Anolis sagrei: one gene and its partner. The protein of the gene in region 2 purifies or fractionates together with the protein of the main gene of each other region. This does not show direct contact. Links are inferred from orthologs where the notes say so. Each region holds a gene or a part of one and is shown on either strand. Other genes may lie near its edges. The genes, in order: STYX and FBXL12.

Evidence for each region.
Region 1: the proteins of FBXL12 (region 2) and STYX purify together in Homo sapiens (affinity purification with mass spectrometry; 4 studies listed by BioGRID and IntAct, with this or other methods). This does not show direct contact. The link is inferred for Anolis sagrei from reciprocal best matches to the Homo sapiens genes FBXL12 and STYX.

What each region holds. Positions count from the first base shown.
Region 1 is NC_090021.1:339,033,013-339,048,958, reverse strand, and holds the start of STYX (serine/threonine/tyrosine-interacting protein), read right to left. Parts: upstream 7,367-15,946; 5' UTR 6,964-7,366; coding exon 6,907-6,963; intron 1-6,906. UniProt on the Homo sapiens protein: Catalytically inactive phosphatase. Acts as a nuclear anchor for MAPK1/MAPK3 (ERK1/ERK2). Modulates cell-fate decisions and cell migration by spatiotemporal regulation of MAPK1/MAPK3 (ERK1/ERK2).
Region 2 is NC_090022.1:147,591,861-147,607,599, forward strand, and holds the start of FBXL12 (F-box/LRR-repeat protein 12), read right to left. Parts: upstream 6,310-15,739; coding exon 6,197-6,309; intron 1,689-6,196; coding exon 1,616-1,688; intron 1-1,615. Other genes in the region: UBL5 (ubiquitin-like protein 5), read left to right, coding at 8,873-8,928, 9,912-9,995, 12,216-12,253, 13,883-13,926. UniProt on the Homo sapiens protein: Substrate-recognition component of the SCF (SKP1-CUL1-F-box protein)-type E3 ubiquitin ligase complex.

The DNA of each region.
Region 1 (15,946 bases), on a different chromosome or scaffold from region 2:
AGACAACCTAAAATAAACATAATAACCTGCTAAAACATATAGCAAATATTTAAAAACCAATTTCATTATAGCTCCATCAGATGGGTTCAAAATACCAACAGACAGGATTAGAAAATGGAGGTGACCAACCATAAAAGGGATGGGCAAGGGGTAATGCATGAGAGTATCACAGGGCCAGGATGAAGTACAGTACAGAGTACTATCTAATCTAAGTACACCCGAAAAGACTACTAGAATCTCCTGTAGAAAAGAAGGGGGTGAGGAAATAATTACAACTGGTCCTACAGTTCTAGAAGCATGATTTCCAGCTACTACGGATTATCACACCCCATATTAGCATATGGTGGCAATGGGAATATGGACATGCTGTATCATGGAGTTGGAAGAGACCTCGTGGGCCATCCAGTACAACCCCCTGCCAATAAGCAAGAAAATCACATTCAAAGCACCCCCGACAGATGGCCATCCAGTAGAAAAGCCTCCAAAGAAGGAGCCTCCACCACACTCCAGGGTAGAGAGAGAGAGTTTCACTGCTGAACAACTCTCACAGTTAGAAAGTTCTTCCTAAATGTTCATGTGGAATCTCCTTTCCTGTAATTCCTGCTGAAGAGTGCAGATTCACATTGCCACCATTTAGTATGGGGTTTTAAAAAAAATAAAACTGTTTATTTTGGTTATGGTACATAACAGAAAAACAAATCGGGGCAGATATAATCAGGTAACAGTATTTTTGATGTGTGCATGCCTATCTACCTTAGTCAATCAACCAGTTAATTTTGACACTGAGTACAAATTATTATCATTTACATAATACACATAGACTTGCTATTTCTGCCTGTTTTCCACTACTTTCAATCAAAGCTTTCTATTCATTTTTTTTCCATAACATTCAGAAAATCAGCACATAGCATTTTACACACAGCAGACTATACACTCATCCCAAAAGGGTTTTTCTTTTCAAAGTCAGATCCTAGAAGCAGAATGTCTGTGGGTACCATAGACCCACTATGCTTTTAAACCTTCATAACCAAGTTGCCATGGATTTATACTATACTTTGGCCTTGAAGAGACCACAAAAAAGAGTTACAGGTTGCTAATTTTCCATCCAGCACAACGTATTTCCTAAAACAAAGGATCTTCTGCAAGTAATAGGAGATATTTAACACTGCAGGATAACCAAAATCTTATCAACAGGTGTGACAACAGCTTGTACAACTGAGTTCTTAGGATAACAGCAACAACAGATTAGAGAAAAGTCTAAACTGATAAACAGATAAACAGTTAAAGGGAGTTCCAGGAAAAAAAATCACATTGGGGAGGGGGGGATGCCATCATTTGATATGTCAACTAGTCTACATATCAGACTCACTAGGAAGCAGCTTCCAAGAATCATGGAAGTTGGAAAGTTTACCAAGGTTTGCTTGCCACAAGCCCTGGCAATACAAGAATCTACAGCTAAAGCACCCCTGAAAGGTGGCCACCCATCTTCTATTCAAAATTCTCCAACAATAAAATCATAATTTAAAAATAAATACTAGGAGTCATTGTGTCTAGGGGGAAATCCCCTTGAATGCTGCTGTGAAGCTCGGAATTGTTTATAGAAAGGAACTGAAATGTGTATTCCAAAAATGAAACAGGAGGGAATCTACAGAGCAGAGGCACAAAAAAACCCAAATGGTTCTGAGGGGGAAAAAACTACGACAAAGTATATATGTGAGAGTGATAAAAGCCATTCCAGCAAGAAAAGTAAAAAGCAGTTAAAAGTGGAAGGGACGTTACATATAATGGATGGTAAATGTATCACCCTCAATGCTTCTGGAGTGCAATTTCCAGCAACCTGACTCTGTTTGGGCAACAATGGGGGATGAGGGGAATTTCAGTCCAAGAATATCTTGAAGCACATGTTTCCTGTCTCTGTCATAAAGGATACCCTTGCCATGATTGCTCCTCACGTTGGTGTATTAGCAACCCATAGAGATATGACACTTACAGTACAGGTCTTCCCCCCATTAGTAAAAGTGTACATTCAGGTGTAGATATACAGAGACAAATTCATCACTAACAATTTTAAAGATTCCTGGATGCAGTGCTATTTGTTTGCACCATCCTTTTTGTTTTGACAGTTTTATCCCGTAATGTTTATGATAAAAGGCAACTTATACACATTTTAATAAATAAAATAATAAGTCAAGGACAAAATCCTTTAGGTCAGCATTTCTCAACCTGGGGGTGAGGACCCCTGGGCAGGGGGCTGCGAAGGGGTGTCAAAGGGGTATTTTTTGTCGGGCATGGGGGTTTTGTGGAAGGTTTGGCCCAATTCTGTCGTTGGTGAGGTTCAGAATGTTCTTTGATTGTAGCTGAATTATGAATCCCAGACACTACAACTCCCAAATATCAATGTCTATTTTCCCCAAACTCCACCTGTGTTCACATTTGGGCATACTGAGTATCCATGCCAAGTTTGGTCCAGCTCTATCATGTTTTGATTCCACAGTGCTCTCTGGATGTAGGTGAACTACAATTCCAAAACTCAATGTCAATGCCCACCAAACTCTTCCAGTATTTTCTGATGCTCATGGGAGTTCTGGGTGCCAAGTTTGGTCGAATTCCATCATTGGTGGAGTTCAGAATGCTCTTTGATTGTAGGTGAACTATAAATCCCAGCAATTACAACTCCCAAATGACAAAATCAATCTCCCCCAATCCCATCAGTATTCCACTTTGGGCAAATCAGGTATTTGTGCCAAATTAGGTTCAGTGAATGAAAATACATCCTGCATATCAGATATTTACATTACGATTCATAACAGTAGTAAAATTACAGATATAAAGTAGCAAGGAAAGTAATTTTATGGTTGTGGGTCATCACAACATGAGGAACCGTATTAAGGGGTCGTGTCATTAGGAAGGTTGAGAAACAATGAATTAAATAATGAGAAGACTACCAAGGATGACCTGTGTGCTATGTAGGGTGTTCATGAAGTGGAAAAAAATTAACAACACCCTTCAAATTCTGGACACTAAATTTACACAGGGTAACAACTGGGAACATCCATAGTACCAAGACAAATATATGAAAATGTTAAAAAATCTACCATGTCGGATGAATGGAAAATGCAGGAGAAAGTGAAAAAGAGGTGCTATTGAGCATTCACAACAGCCAGTGTCCTGGGAGGAGACAACAGATTCAAGAACAACAACAACCCTGCTCAGAACACCACAAATGCAGCAGAAAAATTAAATTTTCTTAAGTGTTGTAGATGCAAAAATGGTTATAAGTAAGACAAAAGACCTATATTCCTACTAGCTTTATTATTCACTCTGTCTTACTGAAATGCAATTTGTAAGTAGGAACAAGTCAAGGTACCTGCTGGGTACCTTCATCAGATGGAAGAAATTGGACATTGCTGATTGAGAGGTATACAGGTCACTACTACTACTACCATAACCATGCCTTTCCCCATAACTGTGACTCCAAGATGGTTCACAAATCCCAAAACAGTCTAGGAAGAAGAGACTGAACAATATGCACCTTGATTATATCCAAATGGCCAAGCTGACAAATAGCAGCAGAGGAGGAAATAATGAAGAATTTGCAAACAAATGGAGGCTGGCACTTGGGTATTTGGAAAAGAAGACAAAGGTAAACTTGAAGATTGCCATAAAGGGGATTCAGTGAAAGAAGGTATTTGGGTAGTTGTTGTTTAGTAATGTGATCCTGTTTTGAGGGGTTTCGGAGGTCAGGGGTTGGGGTTCATGGGTGGGGGACAGAGGGTTATGTAATGTTAAGGTATAAATAATTGTACAACCAAATCTGGTTATACTTATGTTTAATGAGCACTGAATATTGACTCTTTTGCATATTTTTCCTTTGCTCATTTTTTCCTTTTGTTCATTTGTTTTGTTTTCTGCATGCACTATTAAATAATAAAAAAAATATTAATAATAAAAAATAAGCAACTTGAAAGAGCAGGAAAATGAAAAAGATCCCTTGAGAGATTTGGGTTTCTTCGTTCTCGTCCCCAAATGAGTATATGACTGCAGACTCGTCATACAATCCATACATGACAGTTGCAGGAGGGAGGAGTAAAGGGCTTCCTAGAAGATGCTGCAGGCTATAAGTGCCACAATGTTATCTTATATACTGGAGTATGAGTATCCTTTTTCTGGAATCCCAAAATCCCAAATGCTCCAAAATCTAAAACTATCCACATGGGCAACTGAAATATTGATTTTGTTGGTTCAGTGTGCACCAAATTTGTTTCACGCTGGAAAATATCCATACAATTACCTTCAAGCTATGTCTATAAGGTCTGCATGAAACAAATGAATTTGTGTTTCAGCTTGGTACCCATTTCCAAGGTTATGCACATACACACAAACACAGATATTCTAAAATCAGGGTAGGAGGGGAAGGGGAATCCAAAATCCAAATCACCTCTGGTCCTAGGCATTTTGGAGAAAGGATACTCAATGTGTAGGAAGGAATGAAAATCTGTGCTAATTTTTTAAAAATCCCTAACCAGCTTCAGGTGTAATGTGTAAAGAAAATCAAAGGCATTGTAACACACACAAAGGCACACATTGAGGAAGTTCTCTCAGGTCACTCATTTTTAATGATCCCAATTCATCATAAAGAGAAGGAAAGAAGGGAAGGGAAGGGGGAAGAACCAAGCAGCACATTCGAGACTACTTCCCCATCACATATATTTTGAAGCAGAAAAGAAGAGAACCCAAAGTCTCAGAGCAAGCCTTGAAGTGGGAGAAGGAGAACACAATTTAAAGGGGAAATTATTATTATTTTCTATATATCTACTCCACTTTTCTTAAGACACAGGTACTCAAGACAACTTACAGCAAAAGATATAATTAAAAACAGAGCAAAGGCATTAAAAGATATTTTTAAATGATTGAAATATTTTGTGTTATGAAACATAAACGTAAACATACAATTAAAACTGCATTGAAAAACTACACAGCTCCCCACAAATCCCAGGCACACCATCCTCAGCAGCCTGTCCCTCATCATTCCCTAAATGTCTGATGACAACATTTACATTATCTGGGAGAAATAAAATTCTGTAAATTGTGTTTAATACCCATAGCATCATACACAGTATATACAAGAATTAAATTTACATTAGATGTGTTAAAAAGCTTCATGCCTTTTGGTCCACTCTATATCATATATTAATCTTATATGATACTATAGTAATATGATATATTCATATATAACATAAATATATAATATACAATTATATCAATAATATTTAATGTTTATGCTATATTACTATTTTATACTATTATTATAATACAATAATGTGGTAGTATGATAATATAATAATTATTATTAATATTGTTCACTTCAGCCCGCCCTCTTGCAAGTGACTTTTGCCCACCTTATATTATATACTGATATCCTATTATATCGTGGGCTGGTCCATGAGGTCACGAAGAGTCGGAGATGACTGAACGAATGAACAACAACATCCTATTATAGTATATTCATATTATGTGTCAACATATATCAATATGTATGACTATATTGTGTTACATAAATATTTTATAACAGTATTATGCAATGATATGTAATGATGATGATGATGATGATTATTATTGTTATTATTATTTCAAATGGTTATTCCCTTTGGCACACACCTTTGCAGCATATAGTTCTCGTTTGCTGTGACATACTGTGCTTTTGTGTCAGTAAAATATATGCAATAAATTGTATTGCCTTGGTTTTTCTGTAAGCTACTTTGAACCTCTCTCTTTCTAGAGAGAAAATGCAGGGTAGGCATAATAATAATTACAACTATAATAAATACAATAAATTGTATTGCCTTGGTTTTACTGTAAGCCACTTTGAACCTCTCTTTCTGGAGAGAAAATGCAGATAAAATAATAATAATAATAATAAATACAATAAATTGTATTGCCTTGGTTTTACTGTAAGCCACTTTAAACCTCTCTCTTTCTAAAGAGAAAATGCAGAGAGAATAATAATAATAATAATAATAATAATAATAATAATAAATACAATAAATTCTATTGCCTTGGTTTTTCTCTGAATTTTCAGGAGAAAAAAATGCAGGCTATACATAATAATAATAATAAGAATAATAAATACAATACATTCTACTGCCTTGGTTTTTCTCTGCATTTTCTGGAGAAAATAATAATAACAACAATAATAAATTGTATTGCCTTGAATCTCTCTCTTTCTGGAGGGAAATACAGAGTATACATAATAATAATAATAATAATAATAATAATAATAATAACAACAACAACAATTGTATTGCCTTGGTTTTACTGTAAACCACTTTGAACCTCTCTCTTTCTGGAGAGAAATGCAGAGAAAATAATAATAATAATAATAATAAATACAATACATTCTACTGCCTTGGTTTTTCTCTGCATTTCCTGGAGAAAAAAATGCAGGGTATTGCCTTGAACCTCTCTTTTTCTGGAGAGAAAATGCAGTGAAAATAATAATAACAACAACAACAACAAATTCTATTGTCTTGGTTTTTCTCTGCATTTTCCAGAGAAAAAATGCAGAGAATAATAATAATAATAATAACTACAACAATAAATTGTATTGCCTTGAATCTCTCTCTTTCTGGAGGGAAAAAACAGAGTATACACAATAATAATAATAATAATAATAATAATACTATTCTTCCAAATAAAGGGTCTTGCCTGGGTTTTCCTGTAAGCCGCTTTGAGTCTCCTTCTTTTGGGGGGGATCTACAACAGAATGGCCATCTCCTTCTCGTGTGGTTGTTGATCCCCTCCCCCTCCTCCTCCCCCTCCCCTTGCAGGTGAGGCACCTGTGCCCTCCCTTTCCCCTCCCCCTCCCCGGCCTGCCTCCCTCCCTACACAACCCCAGGGTGGGCTCACCTCGGAGTCCTCTTTGGGCTGGGGCAGCGCGGGGAAGACCGGCTTGGCCAGCTCCATGGCCGGGCGGCGAGGGACCGGCGACGACCTCCTCCTCCTCCCTTTCTCTCTCTCTCTCTCTCTCTTTTTCTGTCAGGCTGCCTCCTTTCTCCTCTCCTCTCAGAAGGGAAGAAGAAGAAGGGGGCCAAGGAAGAGGCCGAGCGAGGGCCTACGAGGGGCTCCCGCGGAGGAAGACGCCAGGCCGCCAGGAAGGAGGAGGAGGAGGGAAGGGAAGGCAGAAGGGAGAAGAAGAAGAGGAGGCAGCGGCGGCGGCTCGCGCCCAGCCGCCATGCTGCTGGCTGGCAAGCAAGCGAGCGAGCGAGCGAGCGAGCGAGCCGGCCCCTCCCACTCCGCCCGGTCACTCCTTCCTTCCTGCCTTCTTTCGCCTCACAAGCACCGCGCACGCGCACTCCTCCTCGCTTTCCCTCTCTAAGCCACGCCCACTCTAAACCCGGCCTCGAGTTACCCAAGCCACGCCCACTTTCGGCCTTCTCTCAACTGTCACTTAAGCCACTCTCTCAGCCGTCCTAAACCACGCTCACTCTAAACCCGGCCTCGAGCTGCCCAAGCCACGCCCACTCTACTCCCTGCTTCAATTTACCCAAGCCACGCCCACTTTCGGCCCTCTCCAACTGTCACTTAAGCCACGCCCCCTCTCAGCCATCCTAATCCCGGCCTCGAGTTACACAAGCCACGCCCACTTTTGGCCTTCTCTCAACTGTCACTTAAACCACGCCCCCTCTCAGCCATCCAAATCCCGGCCTCGAGTTACCCAAGCCACGCCCACTTTCGGCCTTCTCTCAACTGTCACTGAAGACACCCCCTCCCTCAGCCCTCCCTAAGCCACGCCCACTCTAATCCCGGCCTCAATTTACCCAAGCCACGCCCACTTTCGGCCCCTCTCAACTGTCACTTAATCCACGCCCTCTCCCTCAGCCCTCCCTAAGCCACGTCCACTCCAACCTCGGCCTCAATTTACCCAAGCCAAGCCCACTTTCGGCCCTCTCTCAACTGTCACTTAAGCCACGCCCTCTCCCTCAGCCCTCCCTAAGCCACGCCCACTCTAACCTCGGCCTCAATTTACCCAAGCCACGCCCACTTTCGGCCCCCTCTCAACTGTCACTTAAGCCACGCCCCCTCTCAGCCGTCCTAATCCCGGCCTCAATTCACCCAAGCCACGCCCACTTTCGGCCCTCTCTCAACTGTCACTTAAGCCACGCCCTCTCTCAACCGTCCTAAACCACGCCTACTCTAATCCCTGCCTTTATTTACTCAAGCCACGCCCACTTTCGGCCCTCTCTCAACTGCCACTTAAACCACCCCTCCCCCAGCCCTCCCTAAGCCACGCCCACTTTAATCCCTGCCTCAATTTACCCAAGCCACTCCCACTTTCGGTCCTCTCTCAACTGCCTCTAAGCCACGCCCATTCCCAATCCTTCTCTTCAGCGGTCCCTAAACCACGCCCACTTTCAGGCTTTTTTGTATTCTTTCTGCGCACGCGCACTTCTCGCTTTGTCTTTCCTTCTACGCCACGCCCACTCTCACTCCTCCCTCGACTGTCCCTAAGCCACGCCCACGCTCGATCCTGCCTCAACTGCTACCAAGCCACACCCACTTTCAGGCCTCTCAATTGACACTCTCGAAACTGTACTCTCGAAACTGTCTCCCCAAGCCACTCCCACTTTCAATCACTAAGCCACGCCCACTCTGCACTCCTTCAACTCTCCCCAAGCCACGCCCACTTTCAGCCGTCTAATCTGTCGCTAAACCACACCCACTTTCACTCCTCTCATCTGTTGCTAAGCCACGCCCACTTTCACTCCTCTCATCTGTCGCTAAGCCACGCCTACTCTCAGTCCTCTCAACTACCACTAAGCCACGCCCATTTTCAGTCCTCTCAGCTGCCGCTAAACCACGCCAGCTCTGTCCTCCCTCAATTGTCCCTAAGCCCCACCCACTCTGTCCTCTCTCAACTCTCTAAGCCACGCCCACTCTACAATCCTGCCTCAACTGTACCCAGACCACGCCCACTTTCAGTCCCCTCTCAACCGTAGCTAAGCCACGCCCACTCAATAACACCCAATTTACCCAAGCCACGCCCACTTTCAGCCCTCTTTCAACTGTCACAAAGCCACAGTCTCAGCCCGCCCTCAATTGGCCCTAAGTCACGCCCACTCTCAGTCCTTGTCGTTTTCCCTGCCGCGCACGCGCACTCCTCCTCGCTGTTTTTCTTCGTAGCCACGCCCCCTCTCGGTCCTCCCTCCCCCTCCCCAACGGTTAATTCTGTCTTCTCCTCAGCAGCAGCGCGCTCCCGAGGTTTCCCTTCTGCGCATGCGTGCGCGCACTCCTCGCATTTCTCTCCTCTAAGCCACGCCCACACCAGCTGTCACTCATCCACAACCTCCTTCTCCCTCACTTTTTATCTAGCCACGCCCACTTTAGATCCTTATTTTTTTCGCCCCGCTTGCCACGCCCACTTTTGGACCATCTGCTTTCTCCTCACAAACAGCGTTTCTGAGGTTTCCCTCCTGCGCATGCGCACTTTTCGCTTTTTCCTCTCTAGGCCACGCCCACCCCAACTGTCACTTATCCACAAACTCGTCTCCCTCGCTTCCCCCTCCCCTTATAGCTAGCCACGCCCACTTTCTGTCCTTATTTTCTTCTCCACACTAGCCACGCCCACTCGCTCCTCAATAGTCGCCGGCGACGCTCTCGAAGGCTATTTGCTCTGCGCATGCGTACTAGCCCCATTTCATCCCTTTTTCCCTTCCTACGGGGCCCACACACTCTCTCCAACGGCAAGGGGGAAAGGGGCGTGGCCATTAGACGCGCGCCTTATAAGGAGTGGGCGTGGTTAGCGGCAGCTTGACAGAACAGATCATGCTGCTCACAATGCAAAATAGGGGGCGGGGCTAGGATTTAAAGGGAAAGGAGCATTGAGTCAAAGCAGTTAAAGTGGTGTCAGACTGCATTATTTGTAAGGTGTGGATGCAATCAAAGTCACCAAACTGGCTCAGATTCTTCTCTTTTCATTTCATTTCATGTTGTTGTTGTTCATTCGTTCAGTCGTCTCCGACTCTTCGTGACCTCATGGACCAGCCCACGCCAGAGCTCCCTGTCGGCCGTTACCACCCCCAGCTCCCTCAAGGTCAGTCCAGTCACTTCAAGGATGCCATCCATCCATCTTGCCCTTGGTCGGCCCCTCTTCCTTTTGCCTTCCACTTTCCCCAGCATAATTGTCTTCTCTAGGCTTTCCTGTCTCCTCATGATGTGGCCAAAGGACTTCCACTTTGTCTCTAGTATCCTTCCCTCCAGTGAGCAGTCGGGTTTTCTTTCCTGGAGGATGGACTGGTTGGATCTTCTCGCAGTCCAAGGCACTCTCAGAACTTTCCTCCAACACCACAGCTCAAAAGCATCGATCTTCCTTCGCTCAGCCTTCCCTAAGGTCCAGCTCTCACATCCGTAGGTGACTACAGGGAAGACCATGGCTTTGACTAGGCAATGGATCTTGGTTGCCAGTCTGATGTCTCTACTCTTCACTATTTTATCGAGACTGGACATTGCTCTCCTCCCAAGAAGTAAGCGTCTTCTGATTTCCTGGCCACAGTCTGCATCTGCAGTCATCTTTGCACCTAGAAATACAAAGTCTGTCACGGCCTCCACGGTTTCTCCCTCTCTTTCCCAGTTGTCAATCATTCTTGTTGCCATAATCTTGGTTTTTTTGACGTTTAGCTGCAACCCGGCTTTTGCGCTTTCTTCTTTCACCTTGATTAGAAGGCTCCTCAGCTCCTCCTCGCTTTCGGCCATCAGAGTGGTGTCATCTGCATATCTGAGGTTGCTAATGTTTCTTCCAGCAATTTTCACCCCAGCTTTGCATTCATCAAGCCCCGCACATCGTATGATGTGTTCTGCATACAAGTTAAAAAGGTTGGGTGAGAGGATGCAGCCTTGCCGTACACCTTTCCCAATCTTGAACCAGTCTCCTGTTCCGTGGTCAGTTCTGACTGTTGCTTCTTGGTCCTTGTACAGATTCCTCAGGAGAGAGACAAGGTGGCTTGGGATGCCCATCCCACTAAGAACTTGCCACAATTTATTATGATCCACACAGTCAAAGGCTTTAGAATAGTCAATGAAGCAGAAGTAGATGTTTTTCTGAAACTCCCTGCCTTTCTCCATTATCCAGCGGATATTGGCAATCTGGTCTCTGGTTCCTCTGCCTTTTCTAAACCCAGCTTGAACATCTGGCAACTCTCGCTCCATGTCTTGCTGGAGTCTTCCTTGCAGGATCTTGAGCATTACCTTACTTGCATGAGAAATAAGGGCCACTGTACGGAAGTTGGAGCAGTCTTTCGCATTTCCCTTTTTTGGTATGGGGATATAAGTTGATTTTTTCCAGTCTGATGGCCATTCAAATATGTTTTCCATATTTGCTGGCAAATGGCATGCATCACCTTGACAGCATCATCTTTTAAGATTTTAAACAGTTCAGCTGGGATCCCGTCGTCTCCTGCTGCCTTGTTGTTAGCAATGCTTCTTAAGGCCCATTCAACCTCACTCCTCAGGATGTCTGGTTCTAATTCATTCACCACACCGTCAAAACTATCCTCGATATTATTATCCTTCCTATACAGATCTTCTGTATAGTCTCGCCACCTTCTCTTGATCTCTTCAGCTTCTGTTAGGTCCCTGCCATCTTTATTTCATGTTATATTATGTTAATATATTATATATTATTTATTGTTATTTATACCCTGCTTTTTCTCTCCATAAAGAAACTCAAAGTGGTTCTATTATATATTATATATTATTATTATTAATATTAACATTAATATAATATTAATAATAATCATATCCTGCTTTTTCTCTCCACAAGGAGACTCAAAGGAGCTCTATTGTATTATATATTATATTATATATTATGATATAATATATCATAATAATCCTCACTACCTCTGAGGATGCTTGCCATAGATGCAGGCAAAACGTCAGTAGAAAAATTGCCTCCAGAACATGGCCATATAGCCCGGAAAAACCTACAACAACCCAGATCCTGACACTCCTTCGGATCTTAAATTCCAACCGATCAGCTCTATCTAAGCCTCCGGCTCCATCAAGGTCAATTTCCTCGTTAATGCTTTTCCTCTCATTATCAGGCTGAGAACTATCTTCTCTTCCTAAATCATGCACCTGGCTCTCAGTAGTTTCCTTTTCCCCAGCGTCATCCCTTGCTGTGGGAAACAACTTCTACTCCCTGTTCCTGGTCTTCTTCGTCTAACACAGGGACATCATAACTTTGCAACTGACTGTGCATCTGAAACCCACCATCCCCATCAGAATCATTGACACTATCACTCTGAGATTCCAGCTGAGTCACAATAGGGGACAGATCTAATGTCTCTAGGAGGGCGTTCCATAGCCGGGGGGGGGGGGGGGGGCACCACTGAGAAGGCCCTGTCTCTCGTTCCCGCCAGTCGGATCTGCGAAGAAGGCGGGACCAAGAGCAGGGCCTCTCCAGATGATCTTAAACACCTAGATGGTTTATAGGAAGAGATGCATTCAGACAGGTAAATTGGGCCAGAACCATTTAGGGCTTTAAAGGCTAAAGCCAGCACTTTCAATTGTGCCCGGTAGCAAACTGGGAGCCAGTGGAGCTGGTGCAACAGAGGAGTTGTGCGCTCCTTGAGTGCTGCTCCTGTTAACAACCTGGTTGCTGTCCGTTGGACCAATTGAAGCTTCCGAACAGTCTTCAAAGGCAGCCCCACGTAGAGAGCGTTGCAGTAGTCTATACAGGATGTAATCAGAGCGTGGACTACCGTGGCCAAGTCAGACTTCCTGAGGTACGGACTCCCCTGGTCACCGCCGAAACCTGGAGTTTCAAGCTCAGCGATGAGTCCAGGATCACACCCAAGCTGCCCCATTAATACCCTATTAAAGGCCGATGTAAACATTGCTGTTGCTTGAATCCAGTCCTGCCCTATTGCTGATACGAAATCGAGATGAAGAGCAATGACTGAGTTTTGCAGACCTGAAAACATATACTGTATATACTGCTTGCCCTTTTGCAGCTGGAACTGGTTTCCACGCGCATCCAAGCCAGTGAGAATGTAGGTCGCATCATGGCCGAGGGGCTGGGTCCCCACCCATCAGCTAACCACATAGTGGCCTTAATCCAACCCTTCAGCTCTGCATGCGCCGCTACTCAGGCCGCGCAAGGCTTTGTCTCTCTTCCTTTCCCTGCCTGACATCTCCTGAACCAGAGCTAATTATAGGCTCCAGCTCCGTAGAGAGGCTCCTGTGTCAAGCTTAATTCAATTCCATCATTGGTGGAGTTCAGAATGCTCTTTGATTGTAGGTGAACTATAAATCCCAGCAACTATAACTCCCAAATATCAAGGTCTATTTTCCCCAAAGCCCATCAGTGTTCACAATTGGGCATATTGCGTATCCATGCCAACTTTGGTCCAGATCCATCATTGTTTGAGTCCACAGTGCCCTCTGGATGTAGGTGAACTACAACGCCCAAACTCAAGGTCAATGCCCACCAAACCCTTCCAGTATTTTCTGTTGGTCATGGGAGTTCAGTGTGCCAAGCTTGATTCAATTCTGTCATTGGTGGAGTTCAGAATGCTCTTTGATTGTAGGTGAGCTATAAATCCCAGCAACTACAACTCCCAAACTCAAGGTCAATGCCCACCATACCCTTCCAGTATTTTATGTTGGTCATGGGAGTTCAGTGTGCCAAGCTTGGTTCAATTCTATAATCGGTGGAGTTCAGAATGCTCTTTGATTGTAGGTGAACTATAAATCCCAGCAACTACAACTCCCAAATGTCAAGGTCTATTTTCCCCAAAGCCCATCAGTGTCCACATTTGGGCATATTGGCTATCCATGCCAAGTTTGGTCCAGATCCATCATTGTTTGAGTTCACAGTGCTCTCTGGATGTAGGTGAACTCCCAAACTCAAAGTCAATGCCCACCAAACCCTTCCAGTATATTCTATTGATCACGGGAGTTCAGTGTGCCAAGCTTGGTTCAATTCCATCATCGGAGGAGTTCAGAATGCTCTTTGATTGTAGGTGAACTATAAATCCCAGCAACCACAACTCCCAAATATCAAGGTCTATTTTCCCCAAAGTCCATCAGTGTTCACAATTGGGCATATTGCGTATCCATGCCACGTTTGGTCCAGATCCATCATTGTTTGAGTCCACAGTGCTCTCTGGATGTAGGTGAACTACAACACCCAAACTCAAGGTCAATGCCCACCAAACCCTTACAGTATATTCTATTGGTCATGGGAATTCAGTGTGCCAAGCTTGGTTCAATTCTGTCATTGGTGGAGTTCAGAATGCTCTTTGATTGCAGGTGAACTATAAATCCCAGTAACTACAACTCCCAAACTCAAGGTCAATGCCCACCAAACCCTTCCAGTATATTCTATTGGTCATGGGAGTTCAGTGTGCCAAGCTTGGCTCAATTCTATCATCAGTGGAGTTCAGAATGCTCTTTGATTGCAGGTGAACTATAAATCCCAGCAACTACAACTCCCAAATGTCAAGGTCTATTTTCCTCAAAGTCCATCAGTGTTCATATTCTGGCATATTGAGTATTTCTGCCAAATTTGCTCCAGATCCATCATTGTTTGAGTTCACAGTGCCCTTGGATGTAGGTAAACTACAACTCCCAAACTCAAGATCAATGCCCACCAAACCCTTCCAGTATATTCTATTGGTCATGGGAGTTCAGTATGCCAAGCTTGGTTCAGTTCTATCATTGGTGGAGTTCAGAATGCTCTTTGATTGTAGGCGAACTATAAATCCCAGCAACTACAACTCCCAAACTCAAGGTCAATACCAACCAAACCCTTCCAGTATATTCTGTTGATCATGGGAGTTCAGTGTGCCAAGTTTGGTTCAATTCTATCATCGGTGGAGTTCAGAATGCTCTTTGATTGTAGGTGAACTATAAATCCCAGCAACTACAACTCCCAAACTCAAGGTCAATGCCCACCAAACCCTTCCATTATATTCTGTTGGTCATGGGAGTTCAGTGTACCAAGCTTGGTTCAATTCTATCATTGGTGGAGTTCAGAATGCTCTTTGATCGTAGGTGAACTACAAATCCCAGCAACTACAATTCCCAAACTCAAGGTCAATGCCCACCAAACCCTTCCAGTATTTTCTGTTGGTCATGGGAGTTCAGTGTACCAAGCTTGGTTCAATTCTATCATTGGTGGAGTTCAGAATGCTCTTTGATTGTAGGCGAACTATAAATCCCAGCAACTACAACTCCCAAACTCAAGGTCAATACCAACCAAACCCTTCCAGTATATTCTGTTGATCATGGGAGTTCAGTGTGCCAAGCTTGGTTCAATTCTATCATCGGTGGAGTTCAGAATGCTCTTTGATTGTAGGTGAACTATAAATCCCAGCAACTACAACTCCCAAACTCAAGGTCAATACCAACCAAACCCTTCCAGTATTTTCTGTTGGTCATGGGAGTTCAGTGTGCCAAGCTTGGTTCAATTCTATCACAGGTGGAATTCAGAATGCTCTTTGATTGTAGGTGAACTATAAATCCCAGCAACTACAACTCCCAAACTCAAGGTCAATGCCCACCAAAACCCTTCCAGTATATTCTATTGGTCATGAGAGTTCAGTGTGCCAAGCTTGGTCCAATTCCATCATTGGTGGCATTCAGAATGCTCTTTGATTGTAGGTGAACTATAAATCCCAGCAACTACAACTCCCAAACTCAAGGTCAATACCAACCAAACCCTTCCAGTATATTCTGTTGATCATGGGAGTTCAGTGTGCCAAGCTTGGTTCAGTTCTATCATTGGTGGAGTTCAGAATGCTCTTTGATTGTAGGTGAGCTATAAATCACAGCCACTACAACTCCCAAACTCAAGGTCAATGCCCACCAAACCCTTCCAGTATATTCTATTGGTCATGGGAGTTCAGTGTGCCAAGCTTGGCTCAATTCTATCATCAGTGGAGTTCAG
Region 2 (15,739 bases):
AATGAAACTGTTAAAGTTTATAACTCCCAAATTCAAAACGCATCTGAAATCGTACTGCATGGGAGATATGCTGTTATACTGGCTGCAAAATTCTTCAGACTCTTAGTCTTTACCCACATAATAACAGAGAAATCCCTGCTCAGCCATGAAAACCCACTGGGGGATCTTGAGCAAGTCATACCTGGCCTGAGAGGAAGTCAAGGGCAACCTCCCCCCATGAGCAGACTTTGCCAAGAAAACTCCATTAAAAGATTTGATGTAGGTCGGAAATGACATGAATGCAGAAACATATGGTTTTAGCCCTTCCTGAAAGTGTGTTGGCAATGGCTTTTGGAGGCTGAAAAGGTAACTGCACCACAGTGCAAAGCTATTTTTTAATGTATTAACTTTATTTCTACCCCGGCTTTTTCCCTATGGAGACTCAAGTTGTCTAACAGCTACACAATCTGATCAAAGTTTAAAACAAAGCAAATAATTTAAAAAAAAAAAAATTAAATAGCACTTTGTAGATATAAAGTTAAACTATAGTTAAAATATAATAAATTAAACTTACATTTAAAAATCACAATTCCCCACCCCAGAATCCCACACACAACCTCCCCAGCAGCATGCCCATCTTTCTACCTTAAAGGCTTGCTGGCACAGAATGCAAGCAGGGAAGGGCCAATCCTGGTTTTTTGGTAGGGGGAGGAGGGAGTTCCACATACTGGGAGCATCCACCAAAAAGGCCCTCACTTGTTCCCACCAAATGCACTTAATCGGGTGGTGGGACAGAGAGAAGGCCTTCCCAGTTGATTGTAGATATCTGAGAAGTTAATAGAGAGAGATATGGTCCTTCAAATAACCTGGACAGAAGCTGTACAGGGCTTTGTAGGTCAAAACCAGCACTTTGAATTGTGTCCAGAAATAGGCTGGCAGCCAGTGGAGCTGTAGTAACAGCAGAATTGTCCACTCCCTGTAGCCAGTCTCAGTCAGCAGTCTGGCTGCTGCTCTTTGGACTAACTGAAGTTTCTGAGCACTTTTCAAAGGCAGCACCATGCAGAGTGCATTACAGTAGTCTAACTGGGATGTAATGAAGACATTTGCAACCGTGGCCAGATCTACCTTCTCCATGAATGGGTGCAGTTGGTGCGCTAGCTTTATACAAAAGCATTCCTGGTCACTGCTAATACCTGGGCCTCCAGGTTCAGAGCTGAAATTTAGAGTACCCCCAAACTGTGAACCTGTGTTTTCAGGGGGAGTGTGACCCCATCTAACACATGCTGAATCTCTATTACTAGATTGGTGTTATGACTGATTGGCCAACTTCTGTCTTGTCTGGATGAAGCTTCAATTTGTTTGCCCTCATCCAGTCCATTACAGCTGCCACAGACTAATTTAGCATAGAAACGGATTCCTTGGCTTTAGGTGGAAAGGAGTAATGGTATTACAGTTCATCTGTGTACAGATGGCATCACACTCCAAAATTCTGGATGATCTCTCCCAGCGGTTTCATGTATATGTTGGGGGGCAACACAGAGTCCTGAGGGACCCCAATGGCCAAGGAAGTACCCCAGCAATTCCTGATCCTTGCTCACAAATACCTACTAATGTGCTGGAGTTTGACCATTGTTACCTTGTAAGAAGTTAGATCCAAATGCCTCCACAGAAACTTGTCCCGCACCAGGCGACGCCACCTCTTGCAAACCCTGTAGAAAGATGTGATCAGTTGTTATCAACTAGTACTTCTCACCCAAAGGCAGTGACTGGGTGGCTTCAATGCAGAGGATCTGAACAAGTGGGTTTACATCCACAAAAGTTGATATTGAAATAAAAACTAGTTTGTTTTAAAGGTGATGCTGTTTCCCACTCCCTCCTTCCTTTTTATGCTGCAAGAAATTAACACAGCTGCTTCTTTGAAAACTGTAGTCAAGGATCCTGTTGCAGAAGTAGTGAGGAAACTAATTGGAGGTAACTGTGAAGCAATGCCACATTGTTGGTGTGCATGGAGAGGAGGGAGCAACAGCATATACATAGTAAGCACTTATATAGAAAAATAAATTGTTTCAGAATTCAGTCTGGATGAGGGGTTACTTCTCTGCACAAACTAGAACTTCATATTGGGCGAATGGATTTTGGCAATGTCCAAAAACTCTCTCCACTGATGAACACCTCTCAACATATGTAGGCCAGGGACTTCTTTGAAACTACATTTCAGGACACCCATTGAAGAGGGAAACATAGGGACAACAGGATTTTGAAGAACTTCTGCACCTGAGCCATTCTTAAGTGTTTAACTTGCATTTCCTTAGGCAAGCCAAATAGAAATAACACCGTTTCAGCTTATTTTTATTGGATCAAAAGGGCCACATCCCCAAAAATGAATGCCAGGACTTCATCACACTGCAACAAGATGCATTAGGGTCCCCAACTAACCATTTGTAAGCTTATAGCTTTTGTTTCCCTTTGATAGCTGCTCTAGACATGCCTTCGGAGCAGCCCTTCTGCACTGCTGGAGCAAACATGCTGCTTTGAAGGTACACAGTAGCGCTTAGAGAGTTGCCTTGATATCTTACAAGGCTCCAAAGCAGGCCTGGTGTTTCATAGTCAAAGCGGCGGGGGGGGGGGGGGGGGGGGAGAACAAAGCAGAAGGCAAGAATATCTCCCTTCCCTGTCACAAAGGCTCCTGTATCTTTAACAAAGGAGTTAGTTTTATGTTGCTGTCCATATTGCGCTCTAAACTAGGAATGAAGATCTAGTGGCCACCAGATTCTTTTCTACTTTATACAACAACTACTACTACTACTACTACTACTAATAATAATAATAATAATAAATCCTTATTTATATGTGCTTTTCTCCCACAATGGGGACCCAAAGCGGCTTCCAACATGGTAAAAACACAATACAAGTTAAACAACAATCAAATGCATGAATATAAAACAGATGGAATTCACTGGGTTGCTGTGAGTTTTCCGGGCTGTCTGGCCATGTTCCAGAAACATTATCTCCTGATGTTTCACCCACATCTATGCCAGGGATCCTTAGAGGTTGTGAGGTCTGTTGGAAACTAGGCAAGTGAGATCTATAGATCTGTGGAATATACAGGGTGGGAGAAAGAACTCTTGTCTGCTTGAGGAAAGTGTGAATGTTGCAACTGGCCACCTTGATTAGCATTTAATGGCCTTGCAGCTTCAAAGCCTGGTTGCTTCCTGCCTGGGGGAATCCTTTGTTTGGCAGTGTTAGCTGGCCCTAATTGCTTCTTGTCTGGAATTCCCCTAGTTTTTGAGTGTTGTTCTTTATTTACTGTCCTGATTTTAGAGTTTAGTTAATACTGGTAGCCAGAATTTGTTCATTTTAATGGTTTCCTCCTTTCTAGTGAATTTAGTTTCCAAGAACCTTGTCAGCTGAAATAAGATGACTATTTCCTGTTCCTTTAACGGCTGTGCAGAAAGAAGTTCTGCAGGTGTTGTTTTCAGGACAATATAAATTGATTCCCCATTATGCATGTTCCATAAAGAGGCAGAACCCCTGTGCCTCATTTTGCCTGTCAACAACTCCCAGAAACCCCAAGCACCATGACCAACCACTGGAGGGACCTGCAGTCCCAAATACCTAGATGGAACAGGCATCCTATCGCTCACTATAGACCAGTAGTTCTCAACCTTCCTAATGCCCCAACCCCTTGATACAGTTTCCTCATGTTGTGGTGACCCCCAACCATAAAACTATTTTAGTTGCTACTTCAGAACTGTAATTTTGCTACTGTTATGAATCATAATGTAAATATCTGATATTCATGATGTATTTTCATTCACTGGAGCAAATTTGGCACAAATACCCAATACACCCTAATTTGAACACTAGTGGAATTGGGGGGGGGGGGTTGATTTTGTCATTTGTTAGTTGTATTGCTGGGATTTATAGTTGATCTACAATCAAAAAGCATTCTAAACTCCACCAACGATGGAACGGAACCAAACTTGGCACAAAAAACTCCCATAACCAACAGAAGGAAGGGTTTGGTGGGCATTGCCCTTGAGTTTTGGAGTTATAGTTCACCTATGTCCAGAGAGCACTGTGGACTCAATGATGGATCTTGAGCAAACTTGGCATGGATACTCAATATGCCCAAATGTGAACACAGGTGGAGTTTGGAGAATATACACCTTGACATTGGGGAGTTGGAGTTGCTGGGATTTATAGTTCACCTACAATCAAAGAGCGTTCTGAACCCCACCAATGATAGAATTGGGCCAAACTTCCCACACAAACCCCCCAATACCAATAGAAAATGTTGTTTTATTTAACTGTTTATTTTGGTTATGGCACATAACAGAAAAGCGAATCGTGACAGATATAATCAGGTAACAATATTTTTGACGTGTACATGCCTATCTATCTTAATCAACCAACCAGTTAATTTTGAAATTGAGTACAAATTATTATCAGTTACTTAACTTAAAACACAGAGACTTGCTATTTCTGTATGTTATCCACTACTTTCAGTCAAAGCTTTCTATTCAATTTTTTCCCATTACATTCAGAAAATCAGCACATGGCATTTTACACACAGCAAACCACACACTCATCCCAGAACCCTTATCCCACACAAAATAAAACCTCTTCCCCACACCCGTGCACCCTTCACCATGACTTCCAACACTGAAACACTATGAAGCCTTTAAGCCTATTTATCTATCCTTATTCACGGTAAACCTAAATTCCTAATGGAGCTCCTCTATGTTGGTTGTAGGTTTTTTCGGGCTATATGGCCATGTTCTAGAGGCATTTTCTCCTGATGTTTCGCCTGCATCTATGGCAAGCATTCTCAGAGGATGCTTGCCATAGATGCAGGTGAAACGTCAGGAGAAAATGCCTCTAGAACATGGCCATATAGCCTGAGAAAACCTACAACAACCCAGTGATTCCGGACATGAAAGCCTTCGACAAGACTCCTCTATATTACTGACTCTCTTGTATTCCTCCTGTTATAAGTTAGTCTGGCCATTAGCATACGCTGTGTTTTCTGCTGGTCTTTGGAGACCCTTTTGCCATTCCCTCGTGATCCCCCACAGGGGTCCTCACCCCCAGGTCGAGAAACGCTGCTATACACCCTGGGCATTTAGTCTAAAAGTGCCAGATTCTGTCTGGCCTTGGAAGTTAAGCAGGCTCAGCCCTGGTTAGCACCTGGAAGGGAGACCACCAACGAATACCAAGTGCCGTAGGCGATATATCTGAGGAAGGGACTAACACAGTGTTTCTCAACCTGGGGGTCGGGACCCCTGGGGGGGTCATGAGGGGGTGTCAGAGGGGTCCCCAAAGACCATCAAAAACCACAGTATTTTCTGTTGGTCATGGGGGTTCTATGTGGGAAGTTTGGCCCAATTCTATCATTGGTGGAGTTCAGAATGCTCTTTGATTGTAGGTGAACTATAAATCCCAGCAACAACAACTCCCAAATGTCAAGGCCTATTTTCCCCAAACTCCACTAGTGTTCACATTTGGGCATATTGAGTATTCGGGCCAAGTTTGGCCCAGATCTATCATTTTTTGAGTCCACAGTGCTCTCTGGATGTATGTGAACTACAACTCCCAAACTCAAGGTCAGTGCCCACTAAACCCTTCCAATATATTTCTTTTGGTCATTGGAGGTCTGTGTGCCAAAATTGGTTCAATTCCATTGTTGATGGAGCTCAGAATGCTCTTTGATTGTAGGCAAACTATAAATCCCAGCAACTATAACTTCCAAATATCAAAATCAATCCCTTCCCAACCCCACCGGTATTCAAATTTAGGCATATTGAGTATTTGTCCAATTTGGTCCAGTGAATGAGAATACATCCTGCATATCAGATATTTACATTACAATTCATAATAGTAGTTCTGAAGTAGCAACAACAATAATTTTTATGATTGGGGGTCACCACAACATGAGGAACTGTATTACGGGGTCGCGGCCTTAGGAAGGTTGAGAACCACTGGACTAACAGAACCTCTTCTGAGCCTTGGAGAAACCTTTGGGACGCCAGGAAGGAGAGTGATGCGGACTGCCCTATCACATCACACCGCAGCTGCCATGGCAACATCCAATAGAATGGGAGGAGCCTTCTGACTCTTCAGCAGAGCGCTGTCGGGCCTCACTAAACTACATCCCCCAGAATCCCACGGCAGTTAAGGGTGGGAGAAGAGCTCCCTCCCCGCCCGGAGCCCTCACCTGGCTCCGCCCACTCGGTCACGTGGGGGCAGCCACGCCAGGATCTCGAGCAGGAGCGAGTCCGGGAGTGTGGCGAGGCTGGGCACCGACATGGCTGAGTGTATGCCTTCCATTTGAGAGCTTCTCCCGCCTTTCCTTGGAACGTTCGACCAGGCTCCTCCGATTTCCGCTTCCGGGCGTGTGAGGCACGTTTCCGCTTCCGCTTTCTTCCCCCTTCGGGCTTCTGCGTGAGTTCCTCCGTGACTGTTTCGGCCCGCTTTCCTTGGGGTAGGTGAAAGGAGCAAGGCCGGCTGCTTTAGCCCTCCAGGCCCCGGACAGTGGCCGGGAAAGCTCCCGAAGCCCCCAGAGTGAGGTTAGCTGTGCTTCTGTGGGTGGCTCTTCTTTTACTTCTCCGGGGAATTTCAGGCTGAACTGAAATTCGGGTGCGAAGGGACTCTTTCCTTTCATCTGGTATTATTCTGATTCTGATTGGTGGATTATTCAGAGCCAGCGTCGAACCACGCCTCTGGAGTCTAAGGTTTGAGCCCCCACTCAGCTATAGACACTATATGGATTCTTTGAGCGATTCACATTCTCTGGGCCTCTGAGCAAGGCCAGGTCCCATCTACCCTGCCATATAATCCAGGTTATCTGCTTTAAACTGGATTATTTGGCAGTGTAGACTCATATAAACCACTTCAAATCAGATAACCTGGTTTCAGAAACTGGATTATATGGCAGGGTAGATCCAGCCCAATTTTTGCCAAGAAAGCCCCGCAATAGCTTCTCCTCAGGACAAATTGAAAGATGGCTTGAAGTTGAACAGCCACAACACAGGCTGAGTTTCCTTTACTCAAGATGCTTGGTGCCAGAAGTGTTTTGGATTTTTTAAAATTTCTTCAGATTTTGGAGTATTTGCATGTACATAATGAGATATATGTATGTGGCGTTGGAGGAAAGTGCCGAGAGTGCCTTGGACAGCAAGAAGATCCAGTCCACACTTCAAGAAATAAAACCTGGCTGCTCATTGGAGGGAAGGAGAGTAGAAGCCAAGATGAAGTACTTTGGCCACATCATGAGAAGACAGGAAAGCTTAGAGGAGACAATGATACTGGGGAAAATGGAAGGAAAAAGGAAGAGGGGCCAACCAAGGGCAAGAGGGATGGATGGAATCCTTGAAGGGACTGGATTGACCTTGAAGGAGCTGGGGGTGGTGATGGCCAAAAGGGGGCTCTGGAGTGGACTGGTCCATGAAGTCATGAAGAGTCGGAAATGATTGAGCGAATGAACAATGAGATATCTTGGAGATGGGAGTCTGAACACAGAATTCTATTATATTTCAATGTATTGAAGGCTGTCATGTCCAGAATCACTGGGTTGTTGTGAGTTTTTGGGCTGTATGGCCAGTGTTCCAGCAGCATTCTCTCCTAACGTTTCTTCTGCATCAATGGCTGACATCTTCAGTTATTCAGAAGACTCACAGCAAGAATATAGTTTATTTAATAATGATAATAATTTATTTATAGACTGCCTTATCTCCCCAAAGGGACACAGGGCGGTTTCAAAAAAACATGACAAACATTCAATGATAAAAGAAAACAGTACAAACAATTTACATCAGGACTAGACACATTGGAAAATATAGAGCAACCTAGCTGCAACATAATAAAAAATGGAGAAAAATAAAAACTCCATAAAATGCAAAAATCCCGATAAAACGCACTAAAAATATAAACTAATTACATCATAGTGCCATTGGGTGAGGTTCAGCAATACCAATGGCTAAGATGGAGCTGAAAAATATAAGGGCTGAGCAAGGAATAGTGTAAACAACATGTCATAGGGTCGGGGAAGTGAATGAATTGCAGAACAGGCGACCTAGAGACTAGGCCTATGTGTATGCCTTATACACATAGCTTGGACATAAATTTATACAGAGGGTTGGACTCCTCCCCCCCCCCCAACCTTATACCAAACTTCTTAGTGTTTAAGGTACCATTATAGTCGTTGTTTTTGCTATGACAGGCTAACACATATAACATTATAGAAATTGCTATTCTTTTTATGGCTTCTTAAAATGGTAGTGTTCCCATGATTGATTGTACCTCTTGGATGTCAGTGCTTCCATTTTTTCTTATTTTGAGCAATACAATAGTTTAGGAGTTAATAGGGGTTAATAAACCATTCTGGAAGAGTTATGTAATACAGTTTATATAAATATGAGAAGGTTTAAATAAGGAAGAGTACAGCAGCGGAGCTTCTCAATTAATTAATTTTGTATCCTGTCCCAGGGCACTCAGTGGCCTAGTTGCTCCCAGATGAAGGGCCAATAGTATTATCAGTTGAATTACATTGTACAGTTATCCACTATTAAATGGATGAAGTGGTGGAAAATCCTGTGATGTTACAAGTGGAAGACAGGCATGTCTGGACTTACCCATAACGTTCTGTGCGGTAGGGAGTATGATATTATTGTACAAATCTCAGCTAGATTCACTCAGAATTTGGGAATTCCGACCTCACTCTCTTTTCCTGAGATTGTGCTTTGAAAAAGCAAACAACCCCTTCTCTATCTGAAGTGACTGATCACATTTTTCTCTGTTTCTTTCTTCCAACAGTACCCCTAAAGGCAGGAGACTAGAGGTCTCCTAACTCAGCCGTTTCTTGTACACTGATTACCATTGACACCGGATCGGGATGATTGAAGTGGTTTGCAATGATCGTCTGGGCAAGAAAGTGAGAGTCAAGTGCAAGTATCCAAAACAGAAATATGTAATTTTTGAACACCTAGGGGGAGCTAGACTATATTTTCTAGCCTTATATTTAATTTCTGTTTTATTTGTGAAGACTCTTGACACATACAAAACAGATACTTAACAAGGGAAATATCTGTGATGAGAACTGTTCACTTGAAATATGAGCACAGTGTAACATAAGTGTAGGCGACTGTGAACATAAGAAATGACTCAGAAATTGTCTTAATAGTCACTTCCTTTTGAAATAATGCTTTCTCCTATTCCAGCAATTTTCTGAGCAACAGTATCTGGAAGGCTTTATAATTCCCCTCGCTTGGTTTACTCCCAAGTATGGGATCACTCTAATACGTTGTCTACATTTGGACTAGAATGCCTGTTGTCAGGCAAGTTAAAGTTCAAAAAGCAACAGCTCAAGCAGAATGGATATAAGAATGGATTAAGGCACATGCTTAATGGAGAAGATTGGTATAGAGTGAAAGTGTGTGTGTGAGAAAGAGCATTAGACAGGTGTTTAATAATCTCTAAACTGAAGGTAGTGCTTTTTTAAAAAAATAAGCAAAAAAAATAAGCAGGAAGCCTTGGGTCATGTGATACTGCACAAGCATAACTTTTTTTTGTGTTGCAGTAAACAAATTTTGTTCAAAGATGGAGAAAACTCTACTTAGGAGTGTTTTTTTTAAATAGGTGTTTTGATTATATATGTTTAAAGATTACCCACCCTAGGTAGGGATGTTAAAATATTGAAATATTTATATTTTTTTTCTCCAGGATTTAGGAAAACACATATAATGGTTCCAAAGATGTATGTGTGGGAAGTAAGGAAAACAGAGGGGAGGGAGAGAGGTGGCCGGTAGAAGATTTATGCACGACCGCAATGTGTATTCCATTTAATAATCTGAAAAAAACATTAGTCTCTTAGAGTTTATCACAAAGAGGCCTCCACTTGAGATACATTTTGCTTAACTGGTACTATTGCTCAGCTCTGATGACACCATCCGGGACCTGAAAAAGCTAATTGCGGCCCAGACTGGAACTCGGTGGGACAAGATTGTACTAAAGAAATGGTGAGTAGAAATGTGGACAGATTTCAATAAAAGAATGGTACTTTTGTTTCAGGCAGAATTGTATATGGCATTACTGTCCTAGTCTAGTTCTGAGAGCCAGAGTTCAAGAGCATCATTTGTGTCCTGAATACAAGAGACCCAAGGATAATATATAAAGGCTGTCTCCCCTCTCCCTCCTGTGCAAAAGTACAGCTATCCCAATACATTTGCGGGTTAAGCATTGTGCATTTGTGGATGCGAGTGAATTTGCTGTGCTGTCTCTTGAAGCAGAGAGCAGAGTAGCGACAATGTCAGTTGCCACCCACCCTTCACTAAAGGTTTACAGACTTTGGTTGGGGGTTGATGGTGACTGAAATCATTGCTATTCCACTCCCTGTAACTTCAGGGGGCAGAATAGCAATGGTTTCAGTTGGCATTTCCCCACAAAAGTCTGCAAGTCTGTAGACTTTGATGTGGGATGATTACAACTGAAGCTGTGAACACAAGACCTGCAAATGTGGAAGACCAATTGTATTTTATTATAAATATTTATTTATTGCCTCCCAGCCAAAATGGTTCTCAGATAATTCAAAAGGATCATAAAACAATAAAAATTATAAACTAAATAATTTCAAATTGTACTCAACAAGAGCTCACAATGGCAGAATATTGTCACTCCAGAATTCCAGATAAACTCAATCAGAAAAGGAACAAAAATAATTTTGCTTTCCTCTGAAGGAAGATAGCTTTGGGAAGAGGCTCTATTTCTTATTGGTGGGTCTCTGAACTGCCTCATTCAGGGTTAGTCAGGCCAGATTCCAATTCAGGAAGGATCCTGAGGACGCATTCTAGCAACAAGCAGTGCTTGGAAACAAGGAAAGAGTAGGTTGCTCTGAACCAATGGGACAGGGCCAAATATACATACATACATATATACATATATATATGTATATATATGTATTTTCCTCTCAGGCATAGCTCTGTCCATGCATATTCACTGCAGAATAAGCTCAGCACAACAGTGCAGGTCATTTTCATGGAAGGTCTTTAAAGTTTGAGTAGCTGGTTCAGCGCGCGGCAGCCATGTTACTAACTGGAGCGGGTGGCAGGGAGCACACAACGCCCCTGTTGTCCCAGCTCCACTGGCTGCCGATTTGCTACCGGACCTAATTCAAGGTGCTGGTTTTGGCCTACAAAGCCCTAAACGGTTCCGGCCCAAAATACCTTTCGGACCGCATCTTGGCCTACGAGCCCACGAGGACCTTGAGATCGTCTGGGGAGGCCCTTCTCTCGATCCCGCCTGCCTCACAGGCACGGCTGGCGGGGACGAGGGAGAGGGCCTTCTCGGTGGTGGCCCCCCGGCTGTGGAACACTCTCCCTGCACACATCAGACAGGCGCCCTCCCTCATGTCCTTTCGAAAAAGCCTTAAGACATGGCTGTTCGAGAGGGCATTTAATTAAGTGCCAACATTACGGTAAAGAAGAATTGGAATGGAATAAGGAATATGAGACGGGTTATGATTCCACTATGAGACGAAGCGGATTTTTAGTGTAGTCTGTAAGTGTTGTTAGTTTAGATGTTGTTGAACTGGCTTTTGTAATTGTCTTTTATGTGTACTGTACACCGCCATGAGTCGCCCTTATGGGCTGAGAATGGCGGTTAATAAGTGCATCAAATAAATAAATAAATAAATATTATCTCTAATCTCTGATGGGAAATAACACTAGTAAAGCCCTATGGGCAAGATGAGGAACCCATGCAGTCCAAGGGCATTCCATCTGGAAGTTGTGGAAACAGAGGGGTGATGAGTATTATTATTTTGTTTATATTCTGCCCTATTTCCAATAATGAGACTTTTGACAGTTAACAACATAGACCTAAATATCTCAAGTCTGTAGGGCATATAGAAAGAGACACTCCTAGCATATTTTTGATTCAGTCATTTAAAGCTGTAGAAGTCATATCCACAAATTACATTACATCCCAAAATAGAATGGCAACTTATATCTTATTGTAATATATAATAATCACAGGAAGTTACTCTTACAAACATCCAGTTGCTTCTGCTGCAAGATAATGTTTGGAGCCATCTTTAAGGAAAATTCCATGTAAAGCCCATTGTTCCCAGATTGTTGTGTGTGTAATTATGTTAATTTCATGTTTTAACAGAAATAATTGTCATTGTTAATTTGCTTTGTGTAGCAAATTAAAATTAACTATATATATATTTAATGTTATAGGTACACAATTTTCAAGGACCATGTGTCACTGGCAGACTGTATCCTTAATCCTGGTGGTTGACAATAAGTAAGAGCTTTACTATATGTACAGAGAAGGGAACAGCACTCATTAATCATCTTTAAATTCAGTAATGTTATTTGGATAGTTGCTTTGAAATCATTTCCGATTTATTTATACTTTTGCAAAAAGACTTGCACAAAATACTCTTAGCCAATAGACCAGAGTTTACTTATATACATTTTTGATTCTACTGGGTCTTTATGTATTCTCTTTTTAAAATATTTGTATTCCACACTGTATCTGGAGATCATAGAAAGGTTTTACTGAATTTTAGACAAAAATTGATTAAAATACCCAGTTCTATAACTTGCTTCCCTTTTTCATCATGCAAACAAGAGCTGAATAGAAAGTGGACATTTTAAGTTCTTCTTGAATAATGTGTATGTGTTTAGATGTGCACAGATACAAGCAGAGTAACAGATTTGGGGCTTTCACATTTTGTATAATGAAATTTTGATTTTTTTTTTTTTGGAAAATACAATGTTTTCAGAATAAGGCATAAAAGTGGGAAATTCTGCCTTTGCTCTCTTAAAAGGAACTTAATGTGACAAACAATCCTAAAAACTATACAATAGACAATTCAAAACCTAAAACATATACAGCCAAAAATAGAGTTATACAAAGCAGTATTAAATATAGTGAAAACCATTAAAAACCTACCAAAATACACAAAACACTTCACAACATGCCCTGGCTTAGTCTTAAAATCTTATTTAAAAGTCACAGTTTATATCACTACTTCTTAAACTGGGGGTCCTGACCTCAAATGAGACCCTTTTAATTCAATGTTGGGGTCACAAAAATTGGCAACAGTAAAGGTTTTGCCACCTAGTGGCTCTTTGAAACATTTACACAAATCTGTTAGTAACAACATGCAGTGTTAAATGTTTGATTTCTATAGCAGATTAGGATTGCCTAACCATGCCTATAGGTTAATGCAGTGTTTCTCAAACTGTGCTCCTCCAGGTGTTTTGGACTTCAACTCCCAGAAATCCCAGCCAGTTTACTAGCTGTTAGGAATTGTGGGAGCTAAAGTGCAAAACATCTGGAGGAGCACCATTTGAGAAATATTGGGTTGATGGAAAAGTTTGCTGGCCTTACAAAAGAAGAAAAGGGGTTCTAGATGTAGGCTTGCTGATATCTCTGCTTCATTTTTCAGATTTGTGTAATGTGCTTGAGTTTATAAAAAGTCCTATGTTTATATATTACGTTTTCCATTAAAGTTTAATGTAAAGGCTGAGATGATAATATGTGAAATGGCTCTGTCTCTGCCTTTTACTATATATTGCTCAGTATTTAAAACAGGAGCAGCCAACTGGTATCTATCTAGTGTTGAAATTCCCAGCAGCCTTGGTTAGTATAGCTAAAATGAAGACTGGTGAAATTTCATGTCAACATCTGGTGTGTTGTTTCCTGATAAAGTGTTAATTTGTAGGTCTGTGTATGGCTTCTGGCAGTTTGAAAATATGAGGATCAGCATCTGTGATGTTTCCAAAGGAAATGCCATTTTGGTAGTATCGTAGACTTTTCTAGATTTACACATTAAGCTCACTTACTAGACCTGAATGTTTTCCTGTGGGAATTCACCTTAACTTTTTACTTTCAGATGAAATCCATGATGGCATGAACCTAGAACTATACTATCAGTAATTTGGTTGTGGAAGATTTCATATCTGTCATGGTCTCTTTTCTTTTTTCTTCATTTCTAATTTCATTGAAAGTGTCAATGGCTTGTTTAGTTGCATGAATTGTGGCTAGTAATATTTTTATCCCTTATGGCAATAAACTAGAAGATATCTTCTCAAACTGTGTGTTTTTTAAAAATACAAATGTTTATAATAAATGTGATATAACAACATGTGTTAGATGTGGTCTTTGAGGCATTTTTAACCATGTTATTTGTGGAAGTTATAGTGAGAATAGGAGCCCCCGGTGGCGCAGTGGGTTAAACCTTTGTGCCGGTAGGGCTGAAGACCGACAGGTTGCAGGTTCGAATCTGGAGAGAGGCAGATGAGCTCCCTCTATCAGCTCCAGCTCCTCATGCAGGGACATGAGAGAAGCCTCCCACAAGGATGGTAAAAAACATCAAATAATCTGGGCGTCCCCTGGGCAACGTCCTTGCAGACGGCCAATTCTCTCACACCAGAAGCAACTTGCAGTCTCTCAAGTCGCTCCTGACACGACCAAAAAAATAAATAAAAATAGTGAGAATAATGTAGCACAGCTTTATCATTCTATCCAAAGAGCGTACCATCCCACAATCCCCTCTTGTTAGCTTAATTATTTACAAATTGATATAGTCACAACTACTTACCACATGTACAACATTTGAATACAACTGGGAGGGCCTGATTTTTTGGTTTACAAAAGTTGCCTTCATTATAAGGTTGGGAAATCTTTGATTTTCAGATGTTTTGGCCTACATTCCCTTTTACCACACTGGCATGGTTAGGAGTTGGAGAACAAAATCTCTAAGGGATAAAGGCTTCTCACTACTGCCTTGTTACTGGTTTAGTGAAAGTTCTTAATCACTGCCAATGTAAATTCACAATAGTGCTTGTTATCTGGAATAACAATAGAAATTACTGCTACACACAGTATTTGTTCTGTTAAATGAATTGGGAATAATCCTTCTGTGCCATTGCCAACCAGAGCAGACAATAATTCATCTAGCCTGTAAGCATCATTCTGTCATAAATTACTGGCTCTATAGCCAAAGTTCTAAATAAAGAGCAGATTTTAACAGCCATTAGCCATGATAGCAAAACAGTGCATGAATTCAATCTGCATTCCATAATTGCTGGTTTAACTTTGGTGGATTTGATTATTTGTAGATTCATTTAATGTGTTCCCTAGGAATTAATAGGTCCTTCAGCATGATCCTATGGTCAACCTCTTGTGGAGGTTGTCCTGGATAACCAAAAGGTGTTGTCTCAGGTAAAATAAAAATTTTCCCCACATTTATGGGACTCTTCTGTACCTAACCGTGAAAATGGAGGGCATACTCGTATATCTCTGGGAGGGGGAAGTGCACAGATTGCCTAAAGAAGGGATAGAAATAATGTAGTTTCCTAGGTACATACTTTTGGACTTCCAGCACTCCTAACCATTGGCTATTCTAGGCTGTTGGGAACTGCAATTCAGTAACATTTAGAAAGTAACACAGTTCCCTTCCCTGGGCTAGAGTTCAGAAGGATGGGGTGTCTTGAAATGGACAAAATTCCTTCTTTTCCTCATTTCTTTAAGCGTTTAGAGATGGATAAACTGCTGCTCAGAATACCTGGCTAAAAACCACACCATGATTTTCGGGGCTTTTGAACTGACTCAGAATTGCACTGTCCTAGTTTCTCTCTAGGCAGGTAGGAACATGAAATGTACGTATTTAAACCTGGGACGGGAGACTGAGTTTTCCAGGTTGTATGGCCATGTTCCAGAAGCATCCTCTCCTGACGTTTCACCCACA